Danio rerio: one gene and its partners. The protein of the gene in region 3 purifies or fractionates together with the protein of the main gene of each other region. This does not show direct contact. Links are inferred from orthologs where the notes say so. Each region holds a gene or a part of one and is shown on either strand. Other genes may lie near its edges.

What was found.
Region 1: the proteins of snap23.1 (region 3) and napab purify together in Homo sapiens (affinity purification with mass spectrometry; 4 studies listed by BioGRID and IntAct, with this or other methods). This does not show direct contact. The link is inferred for Danio rerio from reciprocal best matches to the Homo sapiens genes SNAP23 and NAPA.
Region 2: the proteins of snap23.1 (region 3) and vamp3 purify together in Homo sapiens (affinity purification with western blotting; 6 studies listed by BioGRID and IntAct, with this or other methods). This does not show direct contact. The link is inferred for Danio rerio from reciprocal best matches to the Homo sapiens genes SNAP23 and VAMP3.

What each region holds. Positions count from the first base shown.
Region 1 is NC_133193.1:47,629,696-47,636,448, forward strand, and holds the start of napab (N-ethylmaleimide-sensitive factor attachment protein, alpha b), read left to right. Parts: upstream 1-3,081; 5' UTR 3,082-3,146; coding exon 3,147-3,244; intron 3,245-6,753. UniProt on the Homo sapiens protein: Required for vesicular transport between the endoplasmic reticulum and the Golgi apparatus. Together with GNA12 promotes CDH5 localization to plasma membrane.
Region 2 is NC_133186.1:42,676,540-42,683,074, forward strand, and holds the start of vamp3 (vesicle-associated membrane protein 3), read left to right. Parts: upstream 1-2,701; 5' UTR 2,702-2,825; coding exon 2,826-2,827; intron 2,828-6,535. UniProt on the Homo sapiens protein: SNARE involved in vesicular transport from the late endosomes to the trans-Golgi network.
Region 3 is NC_133192.1:35,130,441-35,135,917, forward strand, and holds part of snap23.1 (synaptosome associated protein 23.1), read left to right. Parts: intron 1-1,703; coding exon 1,704-1,848; intron 1,849-5,477. UniProt on the Homo sapiens protein: Essential component of the high affinity receptor for the general membrane fusion machinery and an important regulator of transport vesicle docking and fusion.

The DNA of each region.
Region 1 (6,753 bases), on a different chromosome or scaffold from region 3:
ACTGTCGCCTCACAGCAAGAAGGTCGCTGCTTCGAGTTCCAGCTGGGTGGTTTGGCATTTCTGTGTGGAGTTTACATGTTCTCCTCGCGTTGGCATGGGTTTCTTTCAGGTGCTTCTGTTTCCCCCACAGTCTAAAGCAGGGGTTACCAACCTTTTGGAAACTGAGAGCTACTTCTTGGGTATCGTTTAATGTGAAGGGCTACCAGTTTGATACACACTTCCTAATAACAAATTTGCTCAATTTACTTTTAATTATATGTTATTATTAATGAGTGATATTCATCGATGTGAAGACACTGATCATGTTAATGATTTCTCACAATAGTTGTCAACAATGATTGGAAACAGATACATATCAACCAATGCAAGTGTGATTTAAAAAGAATAGCTTCAAAAAATATTAGATACAGCTTACTGGTATGTGGTAATATGGTAAGCTAATTTTATAACAGGCCCACAGGCAACTCGTGTGATCCTCGCAGGCTACCTGGTGACCACGGGCACCATGTTGGTGACCCCTGGTCTAAAGACATGCGGTACAGTTGAATTAAATAAATTAAATTGGCCGTAGTCTATGATGAATAAATGGACTAAGCCAAGAGGAAAGAAGTGAATAATTTAAGTGTTATTTAATTAAATTGACACACTTAAATTATGTAAAAAAAAAAAAAAAAAAAAACTTTTATTTTGGATGTGATTAATTTGCCCAGCACTTTTTAAGTGAATTACTATGTTTATTATAAGCTTCGACTAGCTATGTACCAATAAGTGCATATTCATCCACTCTCTTTTTTATCTAGAGCAAAATTTACCACATTTTCTACTTAATATATGGTTCCATATTTTATTTCTCACCCAAATAAATCCCACTGGCTTATATTTTATATGCAGTGCCTACAAAAAAAAATCACCAAACCCTTAGTTTATTTGTCAAACAGCCTGAAATTAAATCATATTTCCAAATATCTTTTTTAGCCTTTGAATTATTTTTGTAGCCTTATAGCTCCCCAGATAGCAAAGAATTCTAGCCCAGATTTGGCATAAAGCTGGCACATCGCATAAAGCATATGGGCCAAACATGGCCTGGGTTTGGCAGAGGTGGCAAGATTTGGTTCAGTCATGTACCGTAATTCACTACAGCATGTGGGCCAAGCAAAACCTGATTGTGTGGGCCAGAGCTGGGCTGGCCCACCTGTTCAGTTTTAACCTTTAGTTATAACTAGGCCCACACGGAATCTGCACTCGCAGAATTCCGCAGATTTTTAGCCCATCATTAATTCTGTTTATTTACTTGAGTAAATGTGTGTAAATCTATATTAATTCAGTTTTTAATTACAGTAATATTATTGACTAATGTGAAAATGTTCATCTGTTTTATTTACAATGCAGTTTGTAAAGTGATATTTTCTGTCTTTTACTAGATATATTTTATGAGAGACTTGGTTTGTTTAACAAATAAAGTGAATCTAAATGGATTTGCATTTAAAACATTAAATAAAGGTTAAAAAGATTTAATTTTTTATTTCACATATTAAGGTTTTAGTTATGATACTCCAAAATAATTCCGCAGAAATCCGCAGATTTTTACCAAAATTCTCCACAGAAATAGCAAAAAATTTATGCAGAATCCGTCTGGCCCTAGTTATAATTCAGTCCAGATTTTTGTGATTTTTTATTTTTAAAGTCTATTAAATGTTAATATTTTTATATTGTTATTTTAAGATGATCTGTTACTGGCCTGAAGCAACTTGGTTTACTTGATCATCCACTCAGAATTTTTTAGAAAATAGCTAAAATGTAGGTTTACAAAAATACTTTTGATGGATGCTATTTGTTCACCTCCAGTTAAAACTAAAGAACATTGATTAGTGAATATGTCAATAATCTGAAAGACAATTTAAAGCGAGATATAACTGTATCTAAAATATATAACTGGCATTGATATGTATTTTATGATATATATCCTAATTTCACAATAATAAAACTAATGTAAAATTTTCAAACTAATCATGCATTTGCCATTGCCATTTATAACCTTTTTCTGACATTATATTATTTTTTGGCAACTAAGTAGAGTTAAGAAATTAATATTTTCAATACTATAATCATGGAATAATACTAAATTATCTCTCACAGTCCAAAGACATGTGCTATAGGTGAATCGAATTAGCTAAACTGGCCGTATGTGTGTGCATGAGTGTGTATTGATGTTTCTCATTGGTGGGTTGCAGCTGAAAGAGTATCAGCTGTGTAAAACATATGTTTGATAAGTTGGCGGTTCATTCCATGGGTAGCACAATCGCCTCAGAGCAAGAAGGTCGCTGGTTTGAGCCCCGGCTGGGTCAGTTGGCATTTCTGTGTGGAGTTTGCATGTTCTCCCCCTGTTTGCGTGAGTATCCTCCGGGTGCTCAGTTTCCCCCACAGTCCAAAGACATGCGCTATAGGTGAATTGGTAGGCTAAATTTAAATTGTCCATAATGTATGTGTGTGAATGAGTGTGTGTGTGGACGTTTCCAGTGGTGGGTTGCAGCTGGAAGGGCATCCGCTGCGTAAAATATATGCTGGATAAGTTGGTGGTTCATTCCACTGTGGCAGATTAATGAAGGGACTAAGCAGAAAAGAAAATGAATGAATGATAATAATAATAATAATAATAATAATAATAATAATAATAATAATAATAATAATAATAATAATGTGATGTAAACATTATTAATTATGGAGTACTGATGCCATTGTAATTTATAACTTTTTCAGACATTATATCACTTTTTAGACAACTCAGTAGCAATGATTTAACCTAAAAAGAGTTAAAAAAATCTATATTTTCAATATTGTAATCATGGAGTAATCCTAAATCAGATCAAATGAAATTATTCTGGCCAATTGTCTGGCCAATTTTTAAAAGTAAATTATAAAATTTACGATAATATTTTAAAGAATTGTTTAAAAAAATTTATTATAATAAATATTAACAATGAACTCGATCGAACACCAAATAAATAATTGCTTTTGAATGAATAATGAAATTGAGCTTTTATTTTGAATTTAAGCGGCAGGCGGACATGTTGGAGGTTTCCGCAGAGATGTGTTGATGTGGCTGGATTCCAGAGTTTGCTGCTAAAGTTGAACTGTAAACAATATTCATGGATAACACCGGTAAGGAGAAAGAAGCCACGGCTCTCATGGCAGAAGCCGAGAAAAAAGTCAAATCCTCGCAGTCGTTCTTTGGCTCCCTGTTTGGGTAGGTTTTTATCACTTTTATAACTGAGTTCTGACAGGCCAGCCGGGGGTAAACAGACAGCTAGCATGCTAGTGAGTTAGCTGTCAAAAACGAACTTAATAAAAGTTATTTTCAGAGTGGAAAAACTCCAAAGAACGTTTTGTTTCGCCATTTAAGATTATTAGTTAGTGAATTGTGAACCCATACAGTATGTTAAAGCTGTAAAGCTACTTTAATCTCTTTTTCCCCGCTGAGAAGTCGTAATATAACATAACGTTAAATGGCGCAAAGTTTGACTGTTAGAAACGTAATATATTGTCAGCATTATCTTGTATATATCTAAATCTGAATCTACAAATACATATAGAGCGAATTGTCATTTCTTGTCTTGTGACCTGACATAATGTTTCCATAAAACTGATTATGAAATAGGCGGCGAGACTGAAATGTGACTGAATGCTTTGCTAGTTGTCAGCTGACTTTCACTTCAACAAGTTACAACATCACTGGACTTATTTAAACAGCACATTAACCTGAGAAAACACAAACTAATAACAGCAGGGAACATATAATTAGCAATACATTAATGCAAAAAAAAAACACACTAAATTATTACTTATCATACATGATATATATGGATATGAGCAATTACGTGCAAATGTCAACCTTGCCATGAGAAAAATTAGGTTTTTACCAAAATACGAGAACCGTTTCTGGGTTTTTGTGTAAGTAAGTATTTTACAGTATTTTAGAAATACAGAAAAATGCATCTGTTGATGTTTTCAAACTATTCTATTTACCAAAGTCACACAAGTGGCAATTTCACATCTGTCACATTCATAACGGAGAGATGTCACATTCATAACGACACTTTTTTCTCATAAATGTAAAAATATTAAATTAAATAAAACCAATCATTTTTGTTTTATAGAGAGCCAACTTATAGCAGTTTGATTAGCATTGCTTCTTTTGGGTTGTGCAGTTTAATTCTCAAAAGTTCTACAAAGTATGTTGTGTACTGTACATTTACATTTACATTTAGTCATTTAGCAGACGCTTTTATCCAAAGCGACTTACAAATGAGAACAAGGAAGCAATTTACACAACTAAGAGCAACAATGAATAAGTGCTATAGGCAAGTTTCAGGTCTGTAAAGTCTAAGAAGGAAAGTATTAGTAGTATTAGTATTTGTTTTTTTTGGGTACAGTTAGTGTGATATTCAGAGAGGCTATTGCAGATTAGGAAGTGTAAACCCGCAGACTTTTTTTTTTGTCACATCCACAACGCATGTTTATTCTCATTTAAAGTACAAAACATGTTTACAGAGCGATATTTTTCTGATCCCTTAACTCTGTGGTCTGTTGTTCTGGAAAATATAAACGAAAGTTTCAATATAATGTTAACGTATACTTTCTCTTCGATTTTATTACGTGAAATAGATAACAGTTTCTGTAGGTTTAAGACCTTTTTAAATACACATAAGGAATCTTGAATAGAACGTAATACTCCAATATGCTCTCTAAATGTAAATATGATGCATTACTGATGCTTTAAAGTTTTAGTTTAATATTCAGATCTCTAAACTACCCCTATAGTAGAAAACTGCCCTGATTAAATGGCACCTTAGATGGATGTAAGATAAGACTGTGGTGTCTCCAAAATGTGTCTGTAAAATTTCAGTTCGAATACCCATCAGATTATTTATTATATAATGTAGAACAGGGGTGGGCAGTCTTGGTCCTGGAGGGCTGGTGTCCTGTATAGTTGAGCTCCAACACTAGTCAAACATCTATAAGCAGAAAAAAATCTATAAGCAGGTGTGTTTGATTAGAGTTGGATCTTAACTGTGCAGGACCCTGGCCTTCCAGGACCAAATTTGCCAACCCCCGATGTAGAATCTATCCATTTTAGTGTCTGAGGATTATGTACAGTTGCTATCAGAATTAATTAATCCCCTTTGAATCTTTTTTCTTTTTTAAATATTTGCCAAATGATGTTTAACAGAGCAAGGAAATTTTCACAGCATTTCTTATAATATTTTTTCTTCTGGAGAAAGTCTTATTTGTTTTATTTTGGCTAAAATAAAAGCAGTTTTTAATTTTTAAAAACCATTTGAAGGTCAAAATTATTAGCCCCTTTAACCTATATTTTTTCGATCGTCTACAGAACAAACCATCATTATACAATAACTTGCCTAATTACCCTAACCTGCCTAGTTATCCTAATTAACCTAGTTAAACCTTTAAATGTCACTTTAAGCTGTATAGAAATGTCTTGAAAAATATCTAGTCAAATATTATTTACTGTCATCATGACAAAGAGAAAATAAATCAGTTTTTAGAAATGAGTTATTAAAACTATTATGTTTAGAAATGTGTTGAAAAAATCTGCTCTCCGTTAAACAGACAAGATGTATCAGAAAAAAATAAACAGTGGGGCTAAAAATTCTGGGGGTTTAATAATTCTGATTGCAATTGTAGCTTCCTTAAGTGCAAATGTACTGCTTCTCCCCGCCCACCACTCTGACATTGCGTATCAGCTTCTCCTGCGTCAGATAAATACGTCAGATAAACAGCAGTCAGTGATAGAGAGAGACAGGGATAAGGCTGAAATAAGGTCACGAGTGAAAAATACCAAGTAAGTTTATTTGATGTATTTGTGGTGGAGTTTATTCAAGCTTTTGATGAAATGATGAGTCTCACACAAATGTTGTTTGCAGTACACACACAAATATGTGCGTTTACTGACACTATGCGCCTGTGGTGATTATAGCAGTTAAGAATTACATGTTTTACTCCTTTTACTCTTTTCCGATTTTACTATTTATTACAAACGTGCTCTGCTTTAAAAACGTTTTAAACTTATAAAATTAATTATTCATGTGCAGTTAATCACAGAGACTTGTAATATGTTTTAATCACAGTTTCTTTGCAAAAAGATGTTCTGTGGACACTAGGCATGTAACGGTATTGTAAATACCGTCATACCGCAATATTAATTTTTTTCGATATTACCGAAGTCGCATGACTCGGTAAAACTATAGGTCTTCTGAGAAAATTTGCTCAGGCGAATGAAGCGAACGGGAGGTAACGAAAACTACAATTGCCATCAGCCCATGCTTGACCATCATCCCTTGCGGTCTGTTGTTGCTACAGATCCAGTAATGCGGAAATGGAGTGTGCTGCTAGAAGCGGGGATGAAAAGAGCTGGAAAACTCTAAAGCAGGTCGCACACCAGAAGCGCCGCTCGGCGCCGCGACACGGCGCGTACATGACAGATTAAAGTAATATCGCACACCAGACGCGCACATTCGAATGATATTTAACATGAAACTAATCAGATGACGCTCTGTGGCGCGGCTGAAAAATGAACTGCGTCCTGAGCCGTCGCCGGGCGCCGCCGACAGCCGCCGGTGTGTGTATCCTGATAGAAACCTATGATTAGAATTCTAAAATACATGGCGCTGCGTGGCGCTGCGCGGCGCGCCGCCGAGCGTCGCTTCTGGTGTGCGACCTGCTTTACACGCACAG
Region 2 (6,535 bases), on a different chromosome or scaffold from region 3:
ATTGTTGGATATGTTTTAAAAAAAATAAAAATAAATATTCAGCTGCTGAAGCCATGCAAAACATTTTGAATTGCCCTTAAAATATGGAAAATGTTTTCTGAATGCTTTATATAATTTCTGCTGTAAAATAAAACCTTAAAAGAGAAATGTTGCTCACGCTGTCTTTTTTGTGTGATTTTTTTTTCTTTCTTAAAAAAGCAATATTATCTTTAAAGGCTATTCTTCTGCTTCATATACTTTTAATATTGACTAATACAGTAATTAAAAAATATATATAATTATATTTTAAGTATATGAAGCAGAAGAACAGCCTTTAAAGATAATTTATATAAGATATATATATATATATATATATATATATATATATATATATATATATATATATATATATATATATATATACAGTGCTCAGCATATATGAGTACACCCCGCATAAATCTCTCTTTTAAATTCATATTTTTAATAGGAAGCTAAAATATTATATTTGTGCATAATCATTAGTTTAGTCAGTACTGAAGCCAAGTGTGGAGCTTATCTAACAAAATAACTTACGATAACACTCCAATAAATAGTACATTCAAATTTATAGAAAAATATTAAATACAATTTTTTAAAAAGAGGAAACATCAAAAGAAGCAAAACATTTTTAGAAATTTAGTTGAAATTTTATAGGTTGTAATTTATTTTTGCAATATTTTGCTTGAATTTAGTTGTGCTATCTTTCAATTTATAAATATGTTTGGTGACTCAAATATATTAAATTAATAAATATATCCGTTTAATGAATCTGTTTTGTTTAAATGCACCAAAATACGATGCATATATTTACTGAGAAATGGATAAAAATATTAATTTTCAAAATGGGGTGTACTCAATGTTCAACAATGTTGCAGTATATATATATATATATATATATATATATATATATATATATATATATATATATATATATATATATATATATATATATATATATATATATATATATATAATTCCCTTTCTTAAATATTTCCCAAATTATGTTTAAAAGAGCAAGGAAATTTTCACAGTATGTCTGATAATATTTTTTCTTCCGGAGAAAATCTCATTTGCATTTTAAGGACAAAATTATTATTAATTATTTTTTCTCTCTCGATAGACTACAGAACAAACCATCGTTATACAATAACTTGCCAAATTACCCTAACCTAGTTACCATTAACCTAGTTAAGCCTTTAAATGTCTCTTTAAGCTGTATAGAAGTGTCTTGAAAAAAATCTAGTCAAATAATATATACTGTCATGTCAAATCATAACAAAGATAAAATAAATCAGTTATTAGTAAAGAGTTATTAAAACTATTATGATTAGAAATTTGTTGAAAAAATCTTCTCAACAGAAATTGGGGGAAAAATAAACGGGGTCTAATAATTCAGAGGGGCTAATAATTCTGACTTACATATATAATGAATTCTGATATATATATATATATATATATATATATATATATATATATATATATATATATATATGTACATATATATATTCACATATATATATATATGTGTGTGTGTGTGTGTGTGTGTGCGTGCGTGCGTGCGTGCGTGCGTGCGTGCGTGCGTGCGTGCGTGGTGCGTGCGTGCGTGTGTGTGTGTACATACTTTATATAGGCTAATTTCTTATAATTAAAAATATATATATTTATACCAAATAGTGTAGATGACACTACACCTTACTTATCAGCAAAACAATAATTTAATTTATATTTGTATAAAATGATTAGGTATATATAAATATTCGATGGTATGTGTTTGATTAAAGGTTTAATATTTGGTTTATTCTACAAAAGGTTTGTGATTAGCATGTTTAAATTTTCAAATAAAAATATTAAAATTTAGACCAATGGTGTCTTAATTTTTTCCATAGCTGTTAAATGTAGTTTAATTATCTGTGTTTGTGTGTGCGTGTGTGTTTGTTTGAGAGAGAAAATTTTGAAATTGAATACACCTTCATTTAATAAAAAATTAAACTACAACATGTTTCATTGATTTAAACAAATTTCTAAATCACACAATATTTTCATCAAAAACCATACATTATTTTCAGCCCAACACAACATTTTTTACACTCCACATGTCTTCAAACTTGTTCAACTCTTTCATTGACAAATAAAAATTAAAATCATGTCTAATTCTTGCTCTAATAAGCCTTTTAAAAATAAGTTCAACTTTATAAATGGTCTCACACAAAATCTTGTTCCTCCTATACTAATGTATATTGCCATTTTTGCTAGTCTTAATATAAGAATAGAGAGAAAAAGAGAGAGAAATAGAGATCTTATTATCATCATTAGATTATTAGATCATTATTTTTTATTATCATCTTTATTATTATTATTATTATTATTATTATTATTATTATTATTATTATTTTACTACTACTACTACTGTTTACTGTGTTTAGTGTGTTTTTAAACTATTTATTATGTATGTTCTTTTAATGTAAACTTTAGTGCTTTGACAATACATTTGTAGGCGGTTCATTCCACTGTGGCGACCCCTGATTAATGAAGTACAAAGCCGAAAAGAAAATGAATGAATATATTTGTAACATGTCATGCCAATAAAGCAGTTTTTGAATTGAACTGAATTGAGAGAGTTTTACAATGACTGTATATTTTTATTATAACCTATGAAATTACTTATATGATGGGGAAAACTTTCACTGTGTGTGTGCGTGAGCTATATTCTACGTGCACGCGCGCGCTGACGCTCACTCGCTTACACAGTAATAACAGTTGTATCATCATCAGCGGGCCTTCACAAATCACACATCAACTCAACAACCATGTAAGTAAAATTAAAATTGCACTAGCTCAGCGATGTGATATGAACATGTGATGATATATGTTTTGCTTTTGTTTTTTTTTTAATACCTAAATATTGATGTGCTGGGAAAGTTTGTGTTGTGTTCTAATGGGTGTGAATACGGCCAAAGCAACAGGTTAGCTTTTAGCTTAGCTTTAGCTTCAGTTTGTTGACAATTTGTTTACTTTAATTTACTTTCGGTCTTGTTTTCGGTTGCTTTTATTTGGGATAGTTGATTATGACACCGTAAGTGAAGTTTAATGTCCGTTTGAGTGTTTAAAAGAGATTTGTGTTTATGTTCGCATTAGCGCTAACTTACATGCTAACTGCTTACAGTTTGTTTTGACTGATAAAAGTTTGTGGAAACTTTAGACATTAAGCATACACAAACCACAGACATATCACCATTATAATAACATATTTGTTTTGTTTTAAGTGTACAATTATTTTAATTTTGAGTGAGTTAAAAGGATGTAGTTTGTATTTGGCAAAGCTGCGGCAAATTAATCAACAAACAAGTTATAACTTACAAGCTTCACAAATGATTGTTCTTCAATCAGTTTTGTTAATCCAGTGGTGGGCAAACTTTTTAGACCAGAGGGCCACTTCACGTTTTGCAAACCAAGTAAAGGGCCACATGCCAAATCCTTCAAAACATATCTTTTATTTATAGTGGCAGTATGCTTAGAACATGTAATATCGGACAGAAACATGTCAGATTAACACAAAACAGATTTTTAAAATAATTATTATCGAGTCAAATTGACAAGTAAAATGAATTTGCTCTGCTATTTATATTTATCAATTATCATAAAACAATAAAATAATCTCTAATAGAATGTAATACTGATAATGATGTAATAATTTTGCAGCGAAGAATAGAAAAGATATTGTCTGATAGACAAAATCCCATATTAACACATTAAAAATAATTCTTAAAGTTTGCTATTTAGTCAAATTTACAATAATCTAATTTGCACTTCTTTTAGAAAATACAGATCAATCATCTTAAAACTTGATAAAACCACAAATCTTTGACAAAAGAACTTTTTAAAGTGGATGTATGGATGGAAAATATACTCTGTGTAAAAAAATTAACACATTTAACCAGCAACCATTATATATTTTGAGTCAAATTCACAACAATCTCATTTGAGCTTGTATTAATATGCTCATATCAATCATTATAAAACTATGAGATAAAACGGAAGAAGAATCTTAGGCCCCGTTTACACTAGTGCGTTTTAGTTTGAAAACGCATAAGTTTTGCTACGGTTACGCCATCCGTCCACACTACGCCGGAGTTCTCGAGCGCCGAAAACAGAGCTTTTTGAAAATGCTGGAGAGGCCGTTTTCATTCTAAAATGCTGCTGCTCCGTCTCAGTGTGGATGGGGAAAGACGGAGACATCTGAAAACGGAGGCGGGGCTGGAAACGTTTGCCTATCTGATTGGGGCTTTTCCTCAATATTAAGTAGCCCACACACAGTTCAGTCTCGCATCCTCTTCTTGTAAGTTCAGACTTCGCAAGTTTGATCAAGGCTGCAGTCTCCCCTTTCTCAGTTTGATATGGAAAACATACCGAGGACACGCGTAAATCTTCAAAGGGAACAGTGTACTTTATAACTTCATTCACATCACCTTGGCTACGTTGTTTCACTTTCTCAACAATAAAATATAAACATGATTTAAGGAACTGCCTATTTTCTTTTTAATATTAGCAACTTAACAGACAGCAGAAATGTTGAGGCGTTGTGTTGCATATATGAGCGTCATCTTCACTGTGTGGATATTTATAACAAAACGGAGCCTTATAACAACTGCCTCCTTTCAATTTCAGTGAAAATACGAAACGCACCCTCTCTTTTGCTGAATATCAGTTTTAATAATCGATAATTATAAAAGTATAACATACAATAAGTTTATACATTGTAGGAAATAAAGGCAAGCGATCAGTCAATGTACCTGGATTAATCATTAACTTATCTTTGCGCTTAACCAAAACATGTTACCCGTGAACAAGTAAGTTAATAGATTCCAATGACCAAAGTCAGGGAATTGGCCTATGTCGTTAGATAAAGACAACAACATGAATGAAATATCACGTTTAGCAAATATAGTGAGATTAGATCCAGCGGGAGATGCTTGATGAGCAGTCCGACAAGCAGAGCTCTCATCTGGGTAGAAATGCTGGAGCGCTTGCCCAAGTGTGTCTGTGTGGTCACGTGATGTGCGTTTTCAGCGTTTTGGTGTGGACGGAGAGCAGTTCAGAAACGCTGGGTAAAACGCTAGTGTGGATGCGGATCGTTTTCATTCTACAACGCCGTTTTAAAACTAAAACGCACTAGTGTAAACGGGGCCTTAGTCTTTGTTATTCCAAGTCATGTCATTATGAGTGTTAACGTGAACAATGAGCCTGAAAATAACGTTACATTAATATTAACTGCAACACTCTCGCAAAATACCCAGCTGATCCAGTCTTTGACTAGCAACATAAAAAAAGCGCAGTGTGCTCCTTTTTTCTTGTCAACAAAAAGGCAGTGCAGAGCATCCTTGTGTTTTTGGAATGTAAATGCGCGTTCAGTGTGATCGGCCTCTTAGGTTGTAGCCCTTAAAAACAGCAATATTTTTTTTGGCATATTAGACCTACAGCTTTCTGTCCCGTATTGGTGAAGAAGTATTTTGTTGTCCATTCTTTCATAAACACACGACATTCAAAGTAAAAATTTTTCCCTGACTCCTTTTCAGTCATAAAAGGTCGAGTGCATTGTAATATCCGAGAGTGTGTTCTAATTCTAGTTGCACTAACTGTACTGCATGCAATACTGCCATCAAATGGTATTCACTTGTATTGCATCATTAATTTACTAATTCTGAAATTAAACCGTTACTCAGAAGCAGCATTTTAAAAACTCCCTGGCGGGCGCATGAAAGTGTTCAGCGAGCTGCATATGGCCCGCGGGCCGTAGTTTGTCCACCTCTGTGTTTATCAATTGCTCAGTGCATTTTTTAAAATATACTATAAACAATAACTTTATTCACATATTAAAATTTAAGAGATAGTTCACCCTAGAAGAACATTTTATAAACTATTTACTATTTGGTTTCAAAGTTTTGCTTTTCTGTTTTCTGGTCATCACAAAGTAAGACGCATTTGATAATGTTGGAATCTTGAATCTGTTGGTATCTACTATCTATGGTTACCAGTTTACAGCATTTTTCAAAATATCTTAATGTATCGTGTTCAACTGAAGAAACCAACTCAAGACAGGTTTGGAGAGTGGGTTAATGATTTTCTTCATTCACATTGAGGCATAGGCCGGTATAAGATTCTGATGTATGATAACCTTAGATAAAAATATCACAGGTATTGTGATTACTGCTCTAACATATGTTCTTTTTAAATGTCTAGGTAAAAAACTAAAACTTTTTTTCTGCTTTGATCACAGTGTGTTCTTGAGAAGCTTTTTAAATATGTTGGGACAGTAAACATGTTAGGCTAAATAATTTAAATGAATCATTGACTTCTGCTTTCTGCTGTCACAGACTTCTGCTGTCACAGACTTCTGCTGTCACAGATTTCATTACAATTTAAAATGGGGTTTAAATTTTAATTCTTTGGATATCATTTTCTGCTTGAGATACTGTTATATAAAATACTTTAAACAAAACATAAAAAAGAAACTCTTATA
Region 3 (5,477 bases):
AGTTAACTTAATTAACCTAGTTAAGCCTTTAACTGTCACTTTAACCTTAAATTGTTAAATTATAAAATAGCATTAAGAATGTAATCCGGAATCTACTCCAGTTTTGCAGATTAAGGATTTCATGCCAAAGATGATCAGTAGAAGGACAAAATTACAGTAAAAAAAAAAAAAAAAAAAACCAGAATAAGTATAAATCTTGCATCACTTTATTTCCTAGTGTATAATGTTACCTAAAAATAAACACTTGTTGTACTTGTTGGTCAGGTGGTGACTTCCTGTCTAAGCAGGCAGTTCAAGACCTATAATAAACTACAATATGTCTCTGTTTGGTGGCATTTAACTACTATTAGGACTCATTGTTTTTACCCTGCCACATCAAAATCTGCAGCTGGACTCCACATGTACAGTTTGTTAGTGCTTATTTTTGGACTGTTACAGCGGATTTTTAATTCCTCATTAATTATTAAGATGAGTCACCTTAAAGGGTTAGTTCACCCAAAAATATAAATTCTGTTATTTATTACACATCCTCATCTAATAGAAAATCAGCAGTTCAAGTGGGAATGGGAAGATCATTCCACCAACATGAAACGTTGATTAAAAATGTTTTGGAAAGTGACTTGGGTCTTTTTTGTGATGGTGCTCATTTTCTAAAAACCATTATCAAACATTCCATGTTCAACTTCAGTAGTTCAACTGTAATCATAGTATAAATTTGCAGTTGGTGTGAATCATAAGCTCTCGCGGGTCAGATAAATTGATATGGCAGAGTAGGCTGGAATTTGATATTTCATTAATTTGCATATAAAGCACAAATAAACACAACAATAGTTGACCACTGTGCTGTAGAACGAGGCAAGAAGGATATCAAATAGATAAAAATATACTTATAAATACAAAACCCTGCAGACAAAAAAAATTATAAAAGTAGAGTTAAAAGTAAGCCCGCACAGAATCTGTGTGCACAGTAATCCGCAGATTTTAAGCCCATCATCTTTTTCATCTAAGCCCACCAGTCTTTTTATTTACTTGTAATTCTGTGTAAACTTATATTAATTCAGTTTTTTTTTATTAATTTCTGTTATATGATTGACTAATATGAAAATGTTCATATGATTTATTTACTATGCAGTTTGTAAAGTCATATTTTCTGTCTTTTAGTAGATATATATTATAATAGACACTTGCTTTGTTTACCAAATAAGTGGATCTAATTGGATTCACATTGTAAAGTTTCATATATTAAGTTTTTAGTTACGATATTCCCAAAATTTTTCCTTACAAATCCTCAGATTCTTTTTTTACAAAACTCTCGACAGAAATAGCAAAAAATGTCTGCAGATTTTGTCTGGACCTAGTTAAAAGCAAGCATGCAAAGATGCAACTGTAACTTGGATTTAAAATGATTGAAGGAAGATGCAGATATCACAGATAGGGGAGGATTATTCCACATAGATGTTATACATGTGATATAGACATTTGTTTTTACAGTTGTTGATTTTTGACACACAAAAGTAGTTTGGTTCTTTTTCTGTACTTTGCACATATTGGGACTATTGCTAATTATATGGAGGATGAGAAAGCTCTCAGATTTCATCTAAAATATCTTAATTTGTGCTCCTAAGATGACCAATGTTTCCATTGTTTTGCATTAATAAAGATTTACTGTATGCTTTATTGCCATTTTTTTTCTTTCCCCGAAGAATAACAAATGATGCTCGAGAAGATGAGATGGAGGAGAATCTGGACCAGGTGGGCAGCATCATTGGCAATCTCAAAAATCTGGCTTTGGACATGGGCAATGAGATCGACAAACAAAACAAGACCATTGATCGTATCACTGATAAGGTAAAGATACACACACTTACACTGCTGAGTAGATTACAGTACATTATTAGTTACATATTGTATAATGAAAATAGTAGTTTGTAAAGGCCCGGTTGGATCACACGATTTTGGCATGATTTTTTTGACCTTGGGTGTTGTAGAGATTGGTAAACAACAAATAGACGTCAGGACAAAAGATTCCATCGTTTCTTCACCTGTAATGTGGCATAGTTCACGACAACCGATCCCATGCCTGCGACACCTCGCGACACCGTCGCAGAAAGTCTAGCATGTTTATTCTTTTGTTGTTTCTTACGATGATGTCCACCACGTGTGTGGCACGGCCCAATAAGAGCACATAATATACAAGTTATTTTTGTAGGTGCTCCTGTTAATGAGCTGGTCAGGTAATCAAAAAACAGGCTGCAAATTTACAGATGGGTCAGTCACGGGTGGATATGACCAGTCATTGGCTATGCAAACTTTAACTACTTTCTCTAAAATATGAAAGTGTTTTAAGCAATTTTATCTGACAGACTGGCACAAATATGCCCACTTCTCCATTCAGAGTTCTCTCTTCCAGGGGCACCAGCAGGATTTTATTCAAAGATACGCACATATATAGCACCACCCGGCCCCATCATCCCTTATTCTCATTTCAATCTCAAAAAACACTGATGCTTGCTGTCAAGGCTACATTTATTCATTGTCGCAAGTGAGACCGAGAAAATGAAAGCACATCACTGTATTTCAATAATTTAAATTATTAATTACAATAATTTATCATTAATAAAATAGTATAATATAAAATTAATAATTAGGCTAATTTTAATATATTTTTGTTGCTCAGTTATCTACAAAATAAACAAGAATAGCACCTGAGGTGAAGTGCTTCAAAACCGGTCCGCTATAACCTTTGCTTCAGAGCCAAAACTCAAACTGGTTTGTTAAATAAAATATAATCAAGCCTAAATAAAATTAAAGTGAAATATTCACAGTTTCAGAGAAGCCTATATTAAACTGTTTGTCACTGTAAGTGACGAAACCATCCGTTGCGCCGCTCAATTACAGTTTAATTTGTTTAATCATGTATGTTTTTTTTTTTTTTTTTTTTTTACATCTCCCACCATGCAAGTACATACACACTTTAAAACACACAATCACACCTTTAATTATTCTCATTCTTTCTTGCTTTGTCAATATATCGTAGTGTATACTGTTTAATAATAAATTCACATTATTTAATAAATAAATAAGCGGCATTAATTTGTGCCCTCTCATGGTTGAAACGCACAATGTACGGCTGCAGGCGCCACTGCTCTCAACTTTCCAACTGAGTTTGTTCTAATAAAAGCCAGTCCTGCTTATTCAAATGTGTCATTCATAATAACAGTTTAATATAGGCTTCTCTGAAACTGTGAATATTTAACTTTAATTTTATTTAAGCTAGATTATATTTTTATTTACCAAACCAACACAATCTCACGGCAACTCATGTTTTAGCGCTGAAGCATGGGCCTATAGTGAACTTGTTTTGAAGCACTTCACTTTAAAGGTTATTCGTTTTTTTTTTTTTTATCTAGTAGTTAACTGACCAACAAAAAATACATTACAATTAAGATACATTTTATAGCTAACAAAAATCCGTTTCAAAAAGATATTTTTTCCAAGAAACATTTATGAATTATATTTTAGTTTGTGCCCGTCCAACTGTGCGGTGATGATTTGATGCGCTCCGTAGAAAATAAGGATTTAATTAATTCTTCACTGCTTCACAGCTGCTGATGTTCTTTCATTTCATGTTCAGGCAAGGGAGTGTTTAATAGAAACATTGGCAGAAAAATATACAATTTCAAAGAAAATATATTCATATTAAAAAAGAAACATAAAAGTTTGATCCTATCAATGTCATAACAAATGCCTTTAAATAGTTATTAGGCCAAGTTGTCAGCCAGCATTAGTGTTTATTGAGTTTGAAGTTAATTATATTGAGATAAGAAATATTGTTACAGCAACACTCCAATACACCACTTATCTCATTTTTGATTGCGACTTGTAAAAAGCATTTACGTTCTTGTCCTTTTTTATGAGAAATTTTCCAAAGCTTTAAAGACACCTGACTCTTCATTTAATAAACACTTTATTTGCGACACACACTCTGCCAATTTTATGTTTTTAAGTCATTTAATTCAAGTCATTTTAAGTCATAAGTTTACATATAACTTGCAGAAAAAAATAGCATTTTGCATTTAGTACTGGCCTAAACAAGCTTTTGCATCAACAAATTCATAATCATTACTTTTGCCGGTGCAAGTTTTATGGATGCGCTTGAACACGGAATAGGCTATAAGCATGTATAATTTTGCATCATATCGAAGGAATCGTAAGTTTGGTCCTATCCTAACGAATGCTCTTAAATAATGTAGTTAGTTGTCTGCAAGCATCAGTGTTTATTAAAATTAAAATAAGATAAAAAATAATAAACAAATTGAAATCGAGATTAAAAAAATATATTGTTATAGCAACATTTGTGACTGCTTTGAAATGACACCCACGACAAGTCAAGATTTTATCAAGAAAAAAAATTAAAAATCGCATGATCTGACATAGTTACTTTCGTAACCGACAATAAAAATCGTATGATCTGACCGGGGCTTAAAGCAATCCATGTTTTGTTTACTTTTGGTCTTGAGACTTACTCTAATTAGATGTTCTTTTGTTAATTATTGTTTATTATTATTAATATTAGTAGCATGTATGCTGTTTTGATTGCCCAAACCTAAGCATAACTACTGCAACCAATATACTTGATGGACTTCTTTAAGTAGCAATGATTGCATTTATTAAAGGAAAACATAAATTATGATACCAGAATAATATAAATAATGGTAATATAAAGATAATTGTAATCATTCATAATACTTATATGAATAATACACATACATATTTCATGTTCGGCCTATAACGTAACAGGGCTATTAAATGTGTTATTTATTATTATATTGAAAATGTAAAGTGGAAAAATGTTTGGGGGTCCCAGTTGCTTTCTTGGATGCCTATAAGCTGAAAATGTTTGAAGAATATTAATATTATTATAGTATTTAAACTGTATTTTTAATATATAATTAACTCTACATATTTTGCTTTATATAAATGCATGTTCAGCAGTAGAATAAATTGCCATTACCAGTAACCTCTATAAAATATTAACGCCTACCTTTTATATGGTTAAATTACAGCATTCAGACCATCCGTGGCTACACAGTAATGATGTAATTGTGATTTATGGCTTAAGATTTTAGAAAACTGATAAAACCTGGCCTAACATTAGCTTTTTTGTAGGCAATATTTGAAGAATATTTGAAGAAGCTACCATACCATAGTTTATCGTCATATTCCTTTCTAGAGTTATATTGCTTTGGTACTCCCTTTATACATAAAATAATTCATAAATAATCCTAAAAATAGTTTTAGGATTTTTTTCTTCTTCTGTTGAACACAAAAAAAGATAGTTTAAAGAACGTTGGAAAAATGTAGACATTTATTTCCTTTGTAGGAACAAAAAGTGCTATGCAAGTCAATGGCTGTTTTTTTTTTTTTTTCTACAAAGTTCTTCAAAATACAGTATCTTCCTTTGTGTTCAACAGAAT